Linked DNA regions of Arabidopsis thaliana. The protein of the gene in region 1 interacts with the protein of each later gene in a pairwise test. Each region holds a gene or a part of one and is shown in the gene's direction. Other genes may lie near its edges.

The links. Proteins that work in one complex are often made in the same cells at the same time.
Region 2: the proteins of BRCA2B (region 1) and DMC1 interact in binary tests that used the Arabidopsis thaliana proteins (3 or more experiments, as listed by UniProt).

The regions. Positions count from the first base shown.
Region 1 is NC_003076.8:235,096-243,119, reverse strand, and holds the start of BRCA2B (BRCA2-like B), read left to right. Parts: upstream 1-2,013; 5' UTR 2,014-2,208; coding exon 2,209-2,362; intron 2,363-2,448; coding exon 2,449-2,592; intron 2,593-2,727; coding exon 2,728-2,889; intron 2,890-3,133; coding exon 3,134-4,120; intron 4,121-4,212; coding exon 4,213-4,337; intron 4,338-4,424; coding exon 4,425-4,579; intron 4,580-4,740; coding exon 4,741-4,863; intron 4,864-4,935; coding exon 4,936-5,121; intron 5,122-5,195; coding exon 5,196-5,277; intron 5,278-5,376; coding exon 5,377-5,427; intron 5,428-5,513; coding exon 5,514-5,595; intron 5,596-5,694; coding exon 5,695-5,806; intron 5,807-5,889; coding exon 5,890-5,961; intron 5,962-6,259; coding exon 6,260-6,458; intron 6,459-6,526; coding exon 6,527-6,709; intron 6,710-6,995; coding exon 6,996-7,138; intron 7,139-7,211; coding exon 7,212-7,274; intron 7,275-7,363; coding exon 7,364-7,568; intron 7,569-7,671; coding exon 7,672-7,845; intron 7,846-7,937; and 2 more. Other genes in the region: AT5G01650 (Tautomerase/MIF superfamily protein), read left to right, coding at 1-53; PRA1.B5 (prenylated RAB acceptor 1.B5), read left to right, coding at 1,007-1,678. UniProt on the Arabidopsis thaliana protein: Involved in double-strand break repair and/or homologous recombination by mediating RAD51- and DMC1-facilitated DNA repair. Plays an essential role in both somatic and meiotic homologous recombination.
Region 2 is NC_003074.8:8,097,157-8,102,623, reverse strand, and holds DMC1 (DNA repair (Rad51) family protein), read left to right. Parts: upstream 1-1,691; 5' UTR 1,692-1,883; coding exon 1,884-1,900; intron 1,901-2,069; coding exon 2,070-2,152; intron 2,153-2,567; coding exon 2,568-2,659; intron 2,660-2,752; coding exon 2,753-2,824; intron 2,825-2,913; coding exon 2,914-2,952; intron 2,953-3,064; coding exon 3,065-3,122; intron 3,123-3,205; coding exon 3,206-3,251; intron 3,252-3,328; coding exon 3,329-3,374; intron 3,375-3,533; coding exon 3,534-3,595; intron 3,596-3,696; coding exon 3,697-3,763; intron 3,764-3,846; coding exon 3,847-3,939; intron 3,940-4,025; coding exon 4,026-4,094; intron 4,095-4,178; coding exon 4,179-4,257; intron 4,258-4,365; coding exon 4,366-4,532; coding exon of another isoform or gene 4,533-4,544; exon of another isoform or gene 4,545-4,585; intron 4,586-4,631; coding exon 4,632-4,676; 3' UTR 4,677-4,946; downstream 4,947-5,467. Other genes in the region: AT3G22870 (F-box and associated interaction domains-containing protein), read right to left, coding at 5,153-5,467. UniProt on the Arabidopsis thaliana protein: May participate in meiotic recombination, specifically in homologous strand assimilation, which is required for the resolution of meiotic double-strand breaks. Mediates interhomolog recombination during meiosis.

The DNA.
Region 1 (8,024 bases):
ATCAAAGTCAAGAATATGCACAATGTTTACACGCTTTACACCAGCACTACTAGGTCATGAATAGGGAACAAATACATCTTATGTGTGTAAGTTCATCATCATAAGACGGACCTATAACTTTTACTCATAAACTAGGCATTATAAACAATTAAATCAAATGCATAAACCGTTCCACTACTCGAATTCAATCTTTACACCCACACTGTTGAGTTATTTAGGAGATTCGTTCAACTTCTCTAAATCCGTTGTCTAACTGGCTTAGAGGGTCATCCATCATCTGGAGTGTTTATGCCTATAACCACCTGATATATCAATTATACATTTCTTTTCTCGTGTGGTTCTTCTTGCAGGGATCCTTCTTTGGTTGGAACGGGGCGACTCTTTAATTCCGTGGTAGGTGATTAGTGTGATTGTCTTGAAATGTATGATCTACTCTCATCGATCAAGTAACTTTGAACTACTTCGTATTGTAAACATATCTAAGGTTTGATGGAGTTGCATTAAGAAATAACATTTATGCTATATATGATGCTACAACTTACTATCAGGGTAAACAATGGTTATTTAGTCTTTGTCTACTCGTTAGATATAATTATGTTTAGAATTCGAAGATGAATGTTATCAAAGAAAAAAGGATTTGACATTGTCAAGTCTACTACTCCATATGACAGATCAACATTGTGTTAAAAATATTTTCTATTAGGGAAACTTCCTGTGACTGGAACATTAATGGTCAAATGCACTTTGCCTAAGTAATCAAGAATTATTGTATAAACTACGTTAAGCAAAAAAATAACCTGAGTTATAATATCAGGAGGTTATTTTTATTTTTATTTTAGCAAATGAATATAGATTAGCTATCAGATGAAGCAAGGTGTATAATCAAAGTTGAAAGACGCGTAATTGTGATCCTATATATACATAACACTACCGCAACTTCAGCAACCTCTAAATCATTCGTCTCCTAAAATTTTCCAATCTCAAAATCCCAAAAGAACAAAATCGAATGGTGTCAACAAATCCCCCTGTTCTTCCAATTTCCACCACCGCAACAGACACCACCAATCAGCCTCCGATTGTAACCGCTGTGGTGGAATCGCAACCTCCAGTCGTCCGTGCATTTGTCAACGGTGTGACCGAGACGGTCTGTGGTGGTCTATCTCGTAGCCGTCCGTGGTCAGAGCTCCTCGATCGATCCGCTTTCACAAAGCCTGACTCTCTCTCCGAGGCCGGGACGCGATTCCGGAAAAATTCCTCTTATTTCAGGGTGAATTACGTTTGCATTGTCGCTCTGATCCTTGGTTTCTCTCTTCTCGCCCACCCATTCTCTCTCATCCTCCTCCTATGTCTCGCCGCTTCCTGGCTCTTCCTCTACCTCTTCCGTCCATCAGATCGTCCTCTTATCCTCTTCGGCCGATCTTTCTCCGAATACGAAACTCTCGGTGGCCTAATCCTCTCCACGATCGCAGTGATCTTCTTCACAAGCGTCGGATCTGTATTGATATCCGCTCTCATGATCGGAATAGCAACAATCTGTGTCCATGGCGCCTTTAGAGCTCCCGATGATCTCTTCCTCGACGAACAAGATCATGCCGCCTCCGGATTCCTCTCATTCATCGGTGTTCCCGCGATCCCCTCTGTAGCACCCTCTGCCTCCTCAGCGGCTTCCCCCGTGTAAATTATAGTTCTCAGAATCTGGCGTGTTTAGAGATTTGAAGGTGGAGATTGTTGCAATGTAATTTTCTGTGATACTTGACCATTGTTGCAATGTAATTTTCATTGAAGTCAGTCACCAATCACATTGAACAGATGTTTTAAAATGTCCACGTAAGCAATTATTGTTTGGAACGATTTCGGGTTAGCATTCGTGCCGTTAGTTACCGCAATAAAAGGCCGTGGCAATATCACACTTGTCTTGGAACGCTATGTCCGTAAAAACCAAGCCCAAAGTTAAAATAAAACCACGCGTCTCATAATTTCGGCCCAAATCTTTTTCAACTTTCCCGCCTTTGTCAGAACTTTTAACTTTTTGGATTTTTGGTGATGATTTTGGTTTGGGGAAAGAAAATAAAACAATAAAAATAAAAATTCCGCACTCCCGACTCCTCCCTCTTGGCGTGGTAGGCAATTCTGAATCGCGAGGTTTAGTTCTCCGGCTGAATCATATAACGACGAATCGGAAAACTTGGAAACCCTAGAACTGAATAAATGTCGACGTGGCATTTATTTTCCGATTCCAGCGGCGATGGTTTCCGGTGGGAAGTCGCTGGCCGGATTCTTCAGTCCGTCTCGGATTCTACGCCAACCAAGGCGCTCGAATCGACAGCTCCTCTACCTTCCATGGCCGATCTCTTGCTCCAAGGTGATTCTTCGTATCTTCCTTTTCTTTGTCGAATCGTGTTTGTCATGTGACTCAAAGGAGATTGAATTATTATTTGATGCTTCAAGGATGCTCGAAGCTTATAGAACGGGAAGAATCGATGCCTGGGGAAATCCCAATGTTCAGGACTGGGCTGGGGAAGTCTGTAGTTCTTAAAGAGTCTTCGATTGCTAAAGCCAAATCCATTTTAGCAGAGAATGTTGCTTATTCAGGTATTTTATGTGACAGTATTGAATTCCCTTGACTAGTCATTTGTTTCTGAATTCGCTTGAATTGTTACTTAATGTTGGTGAATATGTGTTCCTGAAAATCTTTTGAATGTTCCATGTTCTTGGCTACACTTTTAGATTTGCAGAACACAAATTGCTCAATTCCCCAAACGAGACAAGTGGATACAGCTGAAACTATGCCAATGTTCAGGACGGCCTTGGGGAAAACTGTCCCTTTGAAAGAGTCTTCAATTGCCAAACCTTTGTCTATTCTAGGAAGTGATATGATAATTGACTCAGGTGTGTTCTTATCTCCTCTTTTTTTAAGTCTTATATCCAGCTGTGTGCGCATTTACATATGAACTTGTTGTTTGTGCTGCTACTCCGTTCAACTTCCAGGTTTCTTGAGTTTGGTTGTTATCAGATAAAACGATGAATAGTGAAGAACTAATCAACACACATCTTACTTCGTTTAGAGAATAAATATTAGAAGTGACATTTTTTCATAGTTTATTTGTTAATAAGATTCTTTTTGATTGTGTAGACAACGTTCTTCCCAGGGAGAGTGGGTTTGGTGTTCCCAACAGTCTTTTTCAGACAGCTTCCAACAAAAAGGTTAATGTATCTTCTGCCGGTTTAGCAAGAGCCAAGGCATTGTTAGGACTAGAAGAAGATGATTTGAATGGATTTAACCATGTGAACCAGTCGTCTTCTTCCCTCCAGCAACATGGGTGGTCCGGTTTAAAAACTCATGAGGAGTTTGATGCTACAGTGGTTAAGCATCATTCAGGAACTCCAGGACAATATGAGAATTATGTATCTGGGAAGAGATCTGAAATCTTAAATCCATCGTTAAAGGTGCCTCCAACAAAGTTTCAGACTGCTGGTGGAAAATCATTGTCAGTGTCAGCTGAGGCGTTGAAACGTGCCAGAAACCTTCTTGGTGACCCTGAGTTAGGGTCTTTCTTTGATGATGTAGCTGGAGGTGATCAATTTTTTACACCACAGAAAGATGAAAGGCTAAGTGATATTGCTATAAACAATGGAAGTGTCAACACAGGTTATATTGCTCATGAAGAAAAGACAAGCAACAAACATACGTCAAATAGTTTTGTATCTCCTCTTCATTCATCTTCAAAGCAATTTAGATCAGTTAACTTGGAGAACCTAGCTTCAGGGGGTAATTTGATCAAGAAATTTGATACGGCTGTTGATGAGACCAATTGTGCTCTGAATATCAGTAAACCTGCTACACATGGACTATCAAATAACAGGCCTTTAGCATCAGATATGGCAGTGAATAATTCCAAGGGAAACGGTTTCATTCCAAGAGCTAGGCAACTTGGAAGGCCTGCTGATCAGCCACTTGTTGATATAACAAATCGCAGAGATACAGCTTATGCAAACAATAAACAAGACAGTACCCAAAAGAAAAGGCTGGGAAAGACAGTCTCCGTTTCTCCTTTCAAAAGGCCAAGGATTTCATCCTTTAAAACTCCTTTAAAGAAAAATGCTCAGCAAGCTTCAAGTGGTAATATATACGATTAATTTTAATTTTAATTTTTTGTTAATCTAATTGGTTGGTTCTCAGATTTATAATTTTGGTGTCCTGTCTATTATCAGGTTTGTCTGTTGTATCGTGTGATACACTTACTTCCAAAAAGGTACTTTCTACAAGATATCCAGAAAAGTCTCCAAGAGTATATATCAAGGAGTTTTTTGGAATGCATCCGACAGCTACGACCAGGGTAAAATCTTTTTGTCCCTTTCACCTGTTCCTGCGTTACATAAATTTTTTCTTCATTCACTCAAACACATTTACGAGGTGGTTTTAGATGGATTATGTGCCAGACCATGTCAGAAGAATCAAATCAAGTAATGCAGATAAATATGTATTCTGTGATGAGTCTTCTTCAAACAAGGTTGGAGCTGAAACTTTTCTTCAAATGTTGGCTGAGTCGGGTGCTTCCTTACAACATGCATCCAGAAAGTACTTTCTCTGTCCCTTGAAATGTTAACCGTGTTATATGTTTATTATATCAGAAAAAGTGTGTGACTGTTCGTTTGAAGCTTGCATGTGATTGTCACTCTATTAGATAGACAGTTTGATGTCTATATCTATTAACTTATCTATCACTACATATGCACTAGGTGGGTTACTAATCACTACAGGTGGATAGTCTGGAAACTTGCATGCTACGACATATACTACCCAGCCAAATGCAGAGGAAACTTTCTAACAATCACCAATGTTCTTGAGGAACTAAAATACAGGTTTCCCAGTCTCACAACACAACTCGTTACTTAAACTCATGCAAAGTCTAACATGGTTAATCTTCTTAATAGATATGAGAGAGAGGTCAATCATGGTCATTGCTCTGCAATCAAGAGGATTCTGAGTGGTGATGCTCCAGCTTCTTCAATGATGGTCCTCTGCATATCAGCTATTAATCCAAGGACCGATAATGGTTCTCAGGAAGCACATTGTTCTGATAATTGCAGCAATGTGAAAGTCGAACTCACTGATGGGTGGTATGAAATTGCTACTGCTGTTCTGTTACCTGTTTTCTTGTCTCATTTCCATAGGATTTTTTTTTAAATCACAGGTACTCGATGAATGCTGCTCTGGATGTCGTGCTAACCAAGCAGCTGAATGCTGGCAAATTGTTTGTGGGGCAGAAGCTTCGAGTAAGTTATATTCATGCAAGATATACTTTGTTTTGCAACACAGATTTTGGTTAGATCACTGACTTGCAGCATGCTTACGTTCTTATCTCTTATCTGAAGATCCTCGGGGCAGGACTTTCTGGCTGGGCTACCCCAACATCACCACTTGAGGTTTCCTAGACTTTGCATTTTATAAGATTTTCTGATATCTTCTCAGGTTGGTTTGTTCTTAGAGTTTCGTTCAACCAAACTTTCAGGCAGTGATTTCAAGTACAATCTGTTTGTTGTTGAATATTAATGGGACATACAGAGCTCACTGGGCGGACCGACTAGGCTTCTGTAAGTAGCTTTATGCTGTGGACCTCACTACATCATCTGAGTTCTTATTGCTTTCATATTATTATCTTTCTATTGATCGTTCTTAATCTCTTCCTCAAGGTAAAGAAATTGGTGTCCCTCTGGCTTTCAACTGTATCAAGTGCAATGGGGGTCCAGTGCCTAAAACGCTAGCTGGCATCACACGAATATACCCCATCCTATACAAGGAAAGGTCAATATAAATGTGTGCCTGTTAATGCACTTTGGTCTTCCTTATACTTCTCGCAAAGCATTATATTTTCTTGATGTATACAGGTTAGGTGAAAAGAAGTCAATAGTTCGATCAGAGAGAATAGAAAGTAGAATTATACAGCTGCATAATCAGAGGCAAGTTTCCTTATAACTGTAGAGTAGCAATTTTTAGTAACATTTATGTGATCAATTTAGCACATCACTTTCTAAGAAGTGTCAGATTAACTCATCAAAGCTAGAGACATTTGTTACATACACCAATATTAGGGTTCTAAGTAGTTTTTGGGACAGACAAAGAATCTTTGTATTTATTAGAAAAGCTTCTGGCCTTCTGAATATGGATGGTTTTGCCAACAGAAGAGCCAAAGATTGCAGTTCCTCATGGTTTATTCTCATTCGTACTTTTCTTTCTTTCTTTTTCTATTTTCCGTAGGCGCTCAGCTCTTGTTGAGGGTATTATGTGTGAGTACCAGAGAGGAATTAATGGTGTTCACAGCCAAAACGATACTGACAGCGAAGAAGGAGCCAAGGTCTTTAAGCTGTTAGAGACGGCTGCTGAACCTGAACTTCTTATGGCTGAAATGAGCCTAGAGCAGTTGACATCTTTCACTACATATAAAGCAAAATTTGAGGTAGAATAGTAATTCCCTTTTCTTGATATATTGATTACAGTAATTAACTGCTTCAATCTGAACCTCAGGCAGCCAAGCAAATGCAGATGGAAAAATCAGTGGCAAAAGCTCTGGAAGACGCTGGTTTAGGTGAAAGGAACGTCACCCCATTCATGAGGATTAGGCTTGTTGGCCTGACGAGCTTAAGTAATGAAGGAGAGCACAATCCAAAAGAAGGCATTGTAACAATCTGGGATCCCACGGAGAGACAGGTACATTCAAATGCCTAAATCTGAATGTTTCATGCACAATTTAAAAGAAGGCATTTTTCTAATGGCTTATAAGTTTACACGAACCTTATCCATATGAGCTTATATGGAACGGGGAGTTCCAAATATAAGCTCGTCAGAGTTGCTGTGGACCTCGAATGGACTGAAATGCATATCAAAAAATCGTTACCATCACTGTACTGTTGCATTAAGAGCATCATCGATTAGCTTGTTCAACTTTTTTCTTGTAGATTCTTAAAACAGTTATCATTGTCTACTACTGTGACAGAGAACCGAGCTGACGGAGGGGAAAATATACATAATGAAAGGGCTAGTACCAATGAACTCAGATTCAGAAACACTTTACTTACATGCCAGAGGGTCAAGCTCAAGATGGCAGCCTTTGTCTCCAAAAGATTCTGAAAATTTTCAGTAAGTGGTTTTCTTTAGTAGACACTGGAATCTATCTCATTAATTTGTTCAATTTCCCTGATGATGTTTTCAGGCCTTTTTTCAACCCTCGTAAACCAATCTCTTTGTCAAATCTTGGTGAAATTCCTCTGTCAAGGTTAATCTCAGTAGTCCAAGCTTTTTATAAAACACTATTTACCGCACTTTGCTAATCTATACTCTATCATCTCTAATTATGTCCTTCAGTGAATTTGATATCGCTGCGTACGTTGTATATGTTGGAGATGCATACACAGATGTTCTACAAAAGAAGCAGTGGGTGTTTGTGACAGATGGATCCACACAACATTCAGGGGAAATCTCAAACAGTCTTCTTGCTATAAGCTTCAGCACCCCATTCATGGATGATAGCTCTGTTTCCCACATCAGCCATAATTTGGTTGGATCCGTGGTATGTACAAATTCTAATATTTGTCTAGTTTTACACTGAGAGAATATGCACCGAGAAATTATTGTTTGAAAAATATATGCTTTGTGGGCTTAATTTTTGGCAGGTCGGATTTTGCAATCTAATTAAAAGAGCAAAGGATGCGACAAACGAAATGTGGGTTGCTGAGACAACAGAGAACTCAGTCTACTTCATAAACGCAGAAGCTGCCTACTCTTCTCACCTTAAAACCCGCAGTGCCCATATCCAAACATGGGCTAAGCTCTATTCTTCCAAATCCGTTCGTTCTCGTCGACTTCCTCTTTCTATAAGTATTCGGTTCAAAAAGATTGTTCTATTGTATTAAGCCTTCTTGGTTTGCTCAATTTTCAGGTCATCCATGAACTTCGGCAAAGAGTCCTATTTATAATCGGTGCTTGTAAATCACCTTCATGCTGAAGATAAATCATACACCACCTC
Region 2 (5,467 bases), on another chromosome or scaffold:
ATTAGAAAAAGGTATTTCTCTTCGTCTCTAGAACTAAATCTCTCTCTCTAAAAAAACAATCGTTTCTCCCTTTCTCCTTCCTGAAGATCGTTTTTTCATAAATCCATAGTAGTTTAAAAACGAAGCAGAGAGATGTTGAAAATCGTTTCTCATGAAATTAATCGATTATTCTCTGTGAAGTTCTTTAATCCACACAACTTTCCTCATGAACATGATAATAGTAGTAAATGGAGGTTTTTCCTATGGTTACTCTAGACGAAGGAGGATCTCCTTGTGTTGGACAGGTTTGTGATTTCTTTCCATGGATTAAAAAAATTTGATTGTTTGTTTATGATGAACGATTCTTTGGCTACGGAAGAGTGTCATGGAGTTCTGGCGAATTCTTTGGCTATGTTTGGTGATTTCGTTTTTAATCAAGTTGGGAATCAATAGGAAACAACTAAGCATACAACATAGATTAGAAGAGATATCAAGATGGATCTAATTTAAGTAAGATTTGGCGACTAATTCTAGATGATTAGGGTTATTTGTGATTTATTACAAGGCATTTGTGTTCTCATTGATTTGGCGAGTAATTCTGTATGACTAGGGTTATTTGTGTTTTCTTAAAAAGAATTTGTGTTCTTGTTGAAATCTTGTTCATTGGAATTATTTGTGTTTGGTAAATCTTCATTGGTGGCTAAGGATGTGTTTGTAGCTCTTACGGCGTTTGTTATTGGTGATGTCCATTATGGATGGCAAATTATGGATGGCACATTATGGATGATGAATCATGGATGACATATTATGGATGACGCATCATGGATTGTATATTATGGATTGATATGGTGAGATTTGTAAATCTTTTGGTCTTACATGTTAAGAGTAAAAGATGAAGAATTGGAGAAGCATGTCTAACATCCTAAAAACAAGCTATATGCGGTTGATTTGCTACAAATAATTTTTTGGTATCCATAATAACAAATCCATTTAAATATATCCATTCAGAAACCTTTCTACTGATCCGTATCCATTCTATATACCATGTCAATAATAATAGGAGATTCGATTAACCGTGTTTTGTAAAGAAACCAAAGTTCCATGTCCATAAGGTTTTGAAGGTGGAGGTCTCTGCAAACTGAAAAAAAAATCAACAAACAATTTTTTGGTGTCCATAATAACGAATCCATTTAAATATATCCATTCGGAAACCTTTTTACTGATCTATATCCATTTTATATAACATGTCCATGATAACAGGAGATTCGATTAACTGAAATCTCGATGCTACGTAGATGAAACGAGTTTGACACATGAGAGAGAGCAAAAATCAAATCAAACCGCCATTGTTGAAGAAGAAGAAGTTTCTTCTCATTTTTTACAAAGATGAAGAGAGAGAGAGGTGAAGAGAGAGAGAGAGATGAAGAGAGAGAGAGAGAGAAAGAGAGAGATGAAGAGAGAGAGAGAAAGAGAGAAAACGTGGGTTAAGATAATATTTTAGTTAAGAGGGTATTTTAGTAAAAAAACATAAAAAAGTGCCTAATCTTTTGAAAGTGCCTAAACACAGAAATAGTTTTAAAAAAGTGTTTAAGAGTGTAATATTCTCTTTTTTTCACCTAGATTCCTTCTATTGACCGTCGATAGACGGATGATAACTATGACGTGGCATTATCGCAGCCATCAAACAAAGTCATGTATAACAAAGAAGAGCACACAAACGAAAACAAATTCAGTTGCGGAACCCAAATTCAAATCAACGGAATTAGAATCACGCTTTCAATTCCGTAACCCGCCATTAAAAACCTTGAACCCTCGAAGCAAATCGAGCAAAGATTTTCAAATTTCGAATTTCAAAATTCTATCTCTCTCACTCTTCCAAGCTTAGAGACTCTTAGAGCGAGAAAATGATGGCTTCTCTTAAGTAAGTGATTGATCTCTCTCTTTCTCTCTACTACGATTCTTCTTCTTCTTCTCCATTCATCGTTTTGGTTTAAGCTTTGTCTTAAGTTTTGTGTACCTGACTCGCTTCTTCTCGTTTTTATTTTGTTTTCCGATGATCCTGATCTGTTTGTGTTGTTTCGGATTCATAGAGCTGAAGAAACGAGCCAGATGCAGCTCGTTGAGCGTGAAGAAAATGATGAAGACGAAGATCTATTTGAGATGATTGACAAATGTAAGATTTGAATTCGTTTTCAACTTTTACGATTCTTCACTTTTTCGTTTCAAATCTTCATCATCTGTTTTGGAATCGTCTCTGTGTGTTTATCTCTTCTAATTTCGCCCACTTTTGTTTATCTAAACCTCGTTGTTGCTTAATCGCTGGGTCTTATGAAATCAGATCTAGAATCGTTCATCTAATTTGAGGAATGTTCTCGCAATCTCTGTTAGATTTCGAATTTAAGTATGAATCTAGGATCGATATTGATTTCTGAACATGGTTCTCCTTGGTAACGAATAGTTTATGGTCCATTTCGTTTACTGTTTGTGGAATTCGAGTGTATATTAGTGTACATAGTTGTTTGATTTCTGTATCTGGCTAAAATCTCTAGCTGATTTGATCTCGGGACTTTTATTTTTGCTTGTGTCAGTGATCGCACAAGGTATAAACGCAGGAGATGTGAAAAAGCTACAAGAAGCTGGGATCCATACCTGCAATGGTCTCATGATGCATACCAAGAAGGTATTAACCAGCTTATTTAGCTTTGCTCATTGGGTTTATACTATGTAGATGTTGGTTGCATGAGTCGATTGTTTAAACTTATGTTTGATGCAGAACCTTACTGGAATCAAAGGTTTATCTGAGGCCAAAGTTGACAAAATCTGTGAAGCTGCTGAGAAAATTGTGGTAAGTTTAACGTTTCCATCTGTTGTTGCTATATCAGTGTTACTTTCTGCATTTGCGTCATTTTAATTGTCAAACCATTTCTCCTTCAGAACTTTGGATATATGACTGGAAGTGATGCTCTTATAAAGGTTAGACTCATTGTTGCTTGATCCCACTAACAGAACTATTAGATTTTGATATCCTATTCAACATTTCATATTAGATATTGAAACTTACAAGTTGTTTTTTAATTGTTTACAGAGGAAATCAGTTGTAAAAATCACTACAGGGTGTCAAGCTCTCGATGATCTCTTAGGAGGTATGCTAAGTTTTGCTTTAGATTTTTGCCATCTTGATCACACTACTTAAGTTCTGGTTTAATTATTTCACATTTCTTGCTAGGTGGAATTGAAACCTCAGCCATCACAGAGGCTTTTGGGGAATTTAGGTGAGAAACAGCTGAGCCAAGCTCTATAAGTTTCCTGTTAATAGCTTGTATTCTTATAGAGTTTAATTTCACTTCAGGTCTGGGAAAACCCAATTAGCACATACCCTTTGTGTCACTACGCAGGTTGGTTTCTTTCCTACAGTCTCAATATGAAATATATGTTGTCTTGTTTACATTTCAGAGGCATGAGATGAGATTTTACTTTCTTTCAGCATATAAACCATTGAGGTACTCTGTCTCTCAATGTCATTGGTATTCATTTTCTGTATTGATGTATTACAGCTACCTACAAACATGAAAGGAGGGAATGGAAAAGTGGCATACATTGACACAGAGGGAACCTTGTATCCTTAATATCTTATAACAAATCTTCTGACCAGATCTTGTGTCTTCATTAGATTGTTTCTATATTCCATGATTTTTCCTTAACCCCTAAATTTTGTAGCCGTCCTGATAGGATTGTCCCAATTGCTGAAAGATTTGGAATGGATCCAGGAGCTGTGCTTGACAATGTAAGCATTATTAACCTCACATCTTTACTTACTCTCAGGACTGTGACTGACATTCAAAAATCTTATTCATCTTGATATAACAGATCATTTATGCTCGTGCTTATACCTATGAGCATCAGTACAACTTGCTTCTTGGCCTTGCTGCAAAAATGTCTGAGGAACCATTTAGGATTCTGGTAAGTAAAACATGTCTGATAATTTTAGTTTAGTTATCCATTCAAATATGAGTTAAATTAGCTGAGTTTTCTGACCTTGTTTCCAGATTGTTGACTCGATCATTGCTTTATTCCGAGTGGATTTCACTGGAAGAGGAGAACTCGCAGACCGCCAGGTTAAACTTGCCTCCCACAACATTACTTACATTATCATTGGCACAATCTGGCTTTGCTCAATAGTCCCAGTTTCTGTGTTGCAGCAAAAACTAGCTCAGATGCTTTCCAGGCTAATCAAAATTGCAGAGGAGTTCAACGTTGCTGTCTACATGACTAACCAAGGTTTACTTTACACTAGTTTGATATAATGAGATAAAGCATCAATTCTTTTTTTGTTTCTTGGTTGCACTAACTTAGCAAGTATCATCTGTTTCATTTGGTGGTTTGCAGTCATAGCTGACCCAGGTGGTGGAATGTTCATATCAGACCCAAAAAAGCCAGCAGGTGGTCATGTACTAGCTCACGCAGCCACCATCAGGCTCTTGTTCAGGAAAGGCAAAGGCGATACACGTGTCTGCAAAGTCTACGATGCTCCGAATCTCGCTGAAGCTGAAGCCATATCCTTTTAACCAAATCCACACACACACACTTGCTTTGTTTTTGATTATTTCATATAATGCAATGACTTCATTTTTTTCCTTAACTGAAGAAATCACAGTTTCCAGATTACTCAAGGAGGCATTGCTGACGCGAAGGATTAGAGGAGCGAACTCTTTTATATGTCATAATCACGAATTATGTCTGTTCTTAACTTGCTGCTTGTTTCTGCATCGAATCAGACGTTTTAATTAAGTCTTTTTATTCTTAGTTTCTTGTTTACCAAATAAGACGATCATTACTTGATTCGGCTTACAAAACCAATCTATGTATCTGATAAAGCTGCAAACAAAACAACTCTGGTTCGTTTGTAAAAAGACAATAATGGCTTTATAACAAGTAACAAGTAAAAGTTCATTATGATCATTGATTAATCAGTTGCACTGAATAATGTGTTATTCCTCTCCAACTTATTCATCTCTATTTTAGTGGATGAAAAAACTCTTTAAATTTCTCTTTTTTATTCATCTAAGTAACGTAAAATAGAAATGAAAGGGATGAATAATTTTAATCATCTCGTTTTCTCACTTTGCCAGTTTTTTCCTGCACATCAATCGATTTCATAATTGCTGCAAAACTCTCATATTGTTTTGTCTCCTCTTTTGGGTTCCATGGCAATATGATACTTTTCAAGTTCGACAAGTCTCATCATGTTTCGCTTATATCGACGGTTTTCTGAACTGCTTTGTCTTCTCCTTTTGCATCCTGGAGGTTGCTTGATTTTCACTAAACTTGGAACATAAGGACACACATATAGCCAACTATCTTGGTGGGCAGGTTCTCCGAGATCAACATCTCGGACTTGTCCAGCCTCTCCAATGATGAAAACTTTGTCGCGTTTCAACGGTTGCCCGAAAATCACGGCGACTTTGTTCACCTCGTCAATGAAGAAACT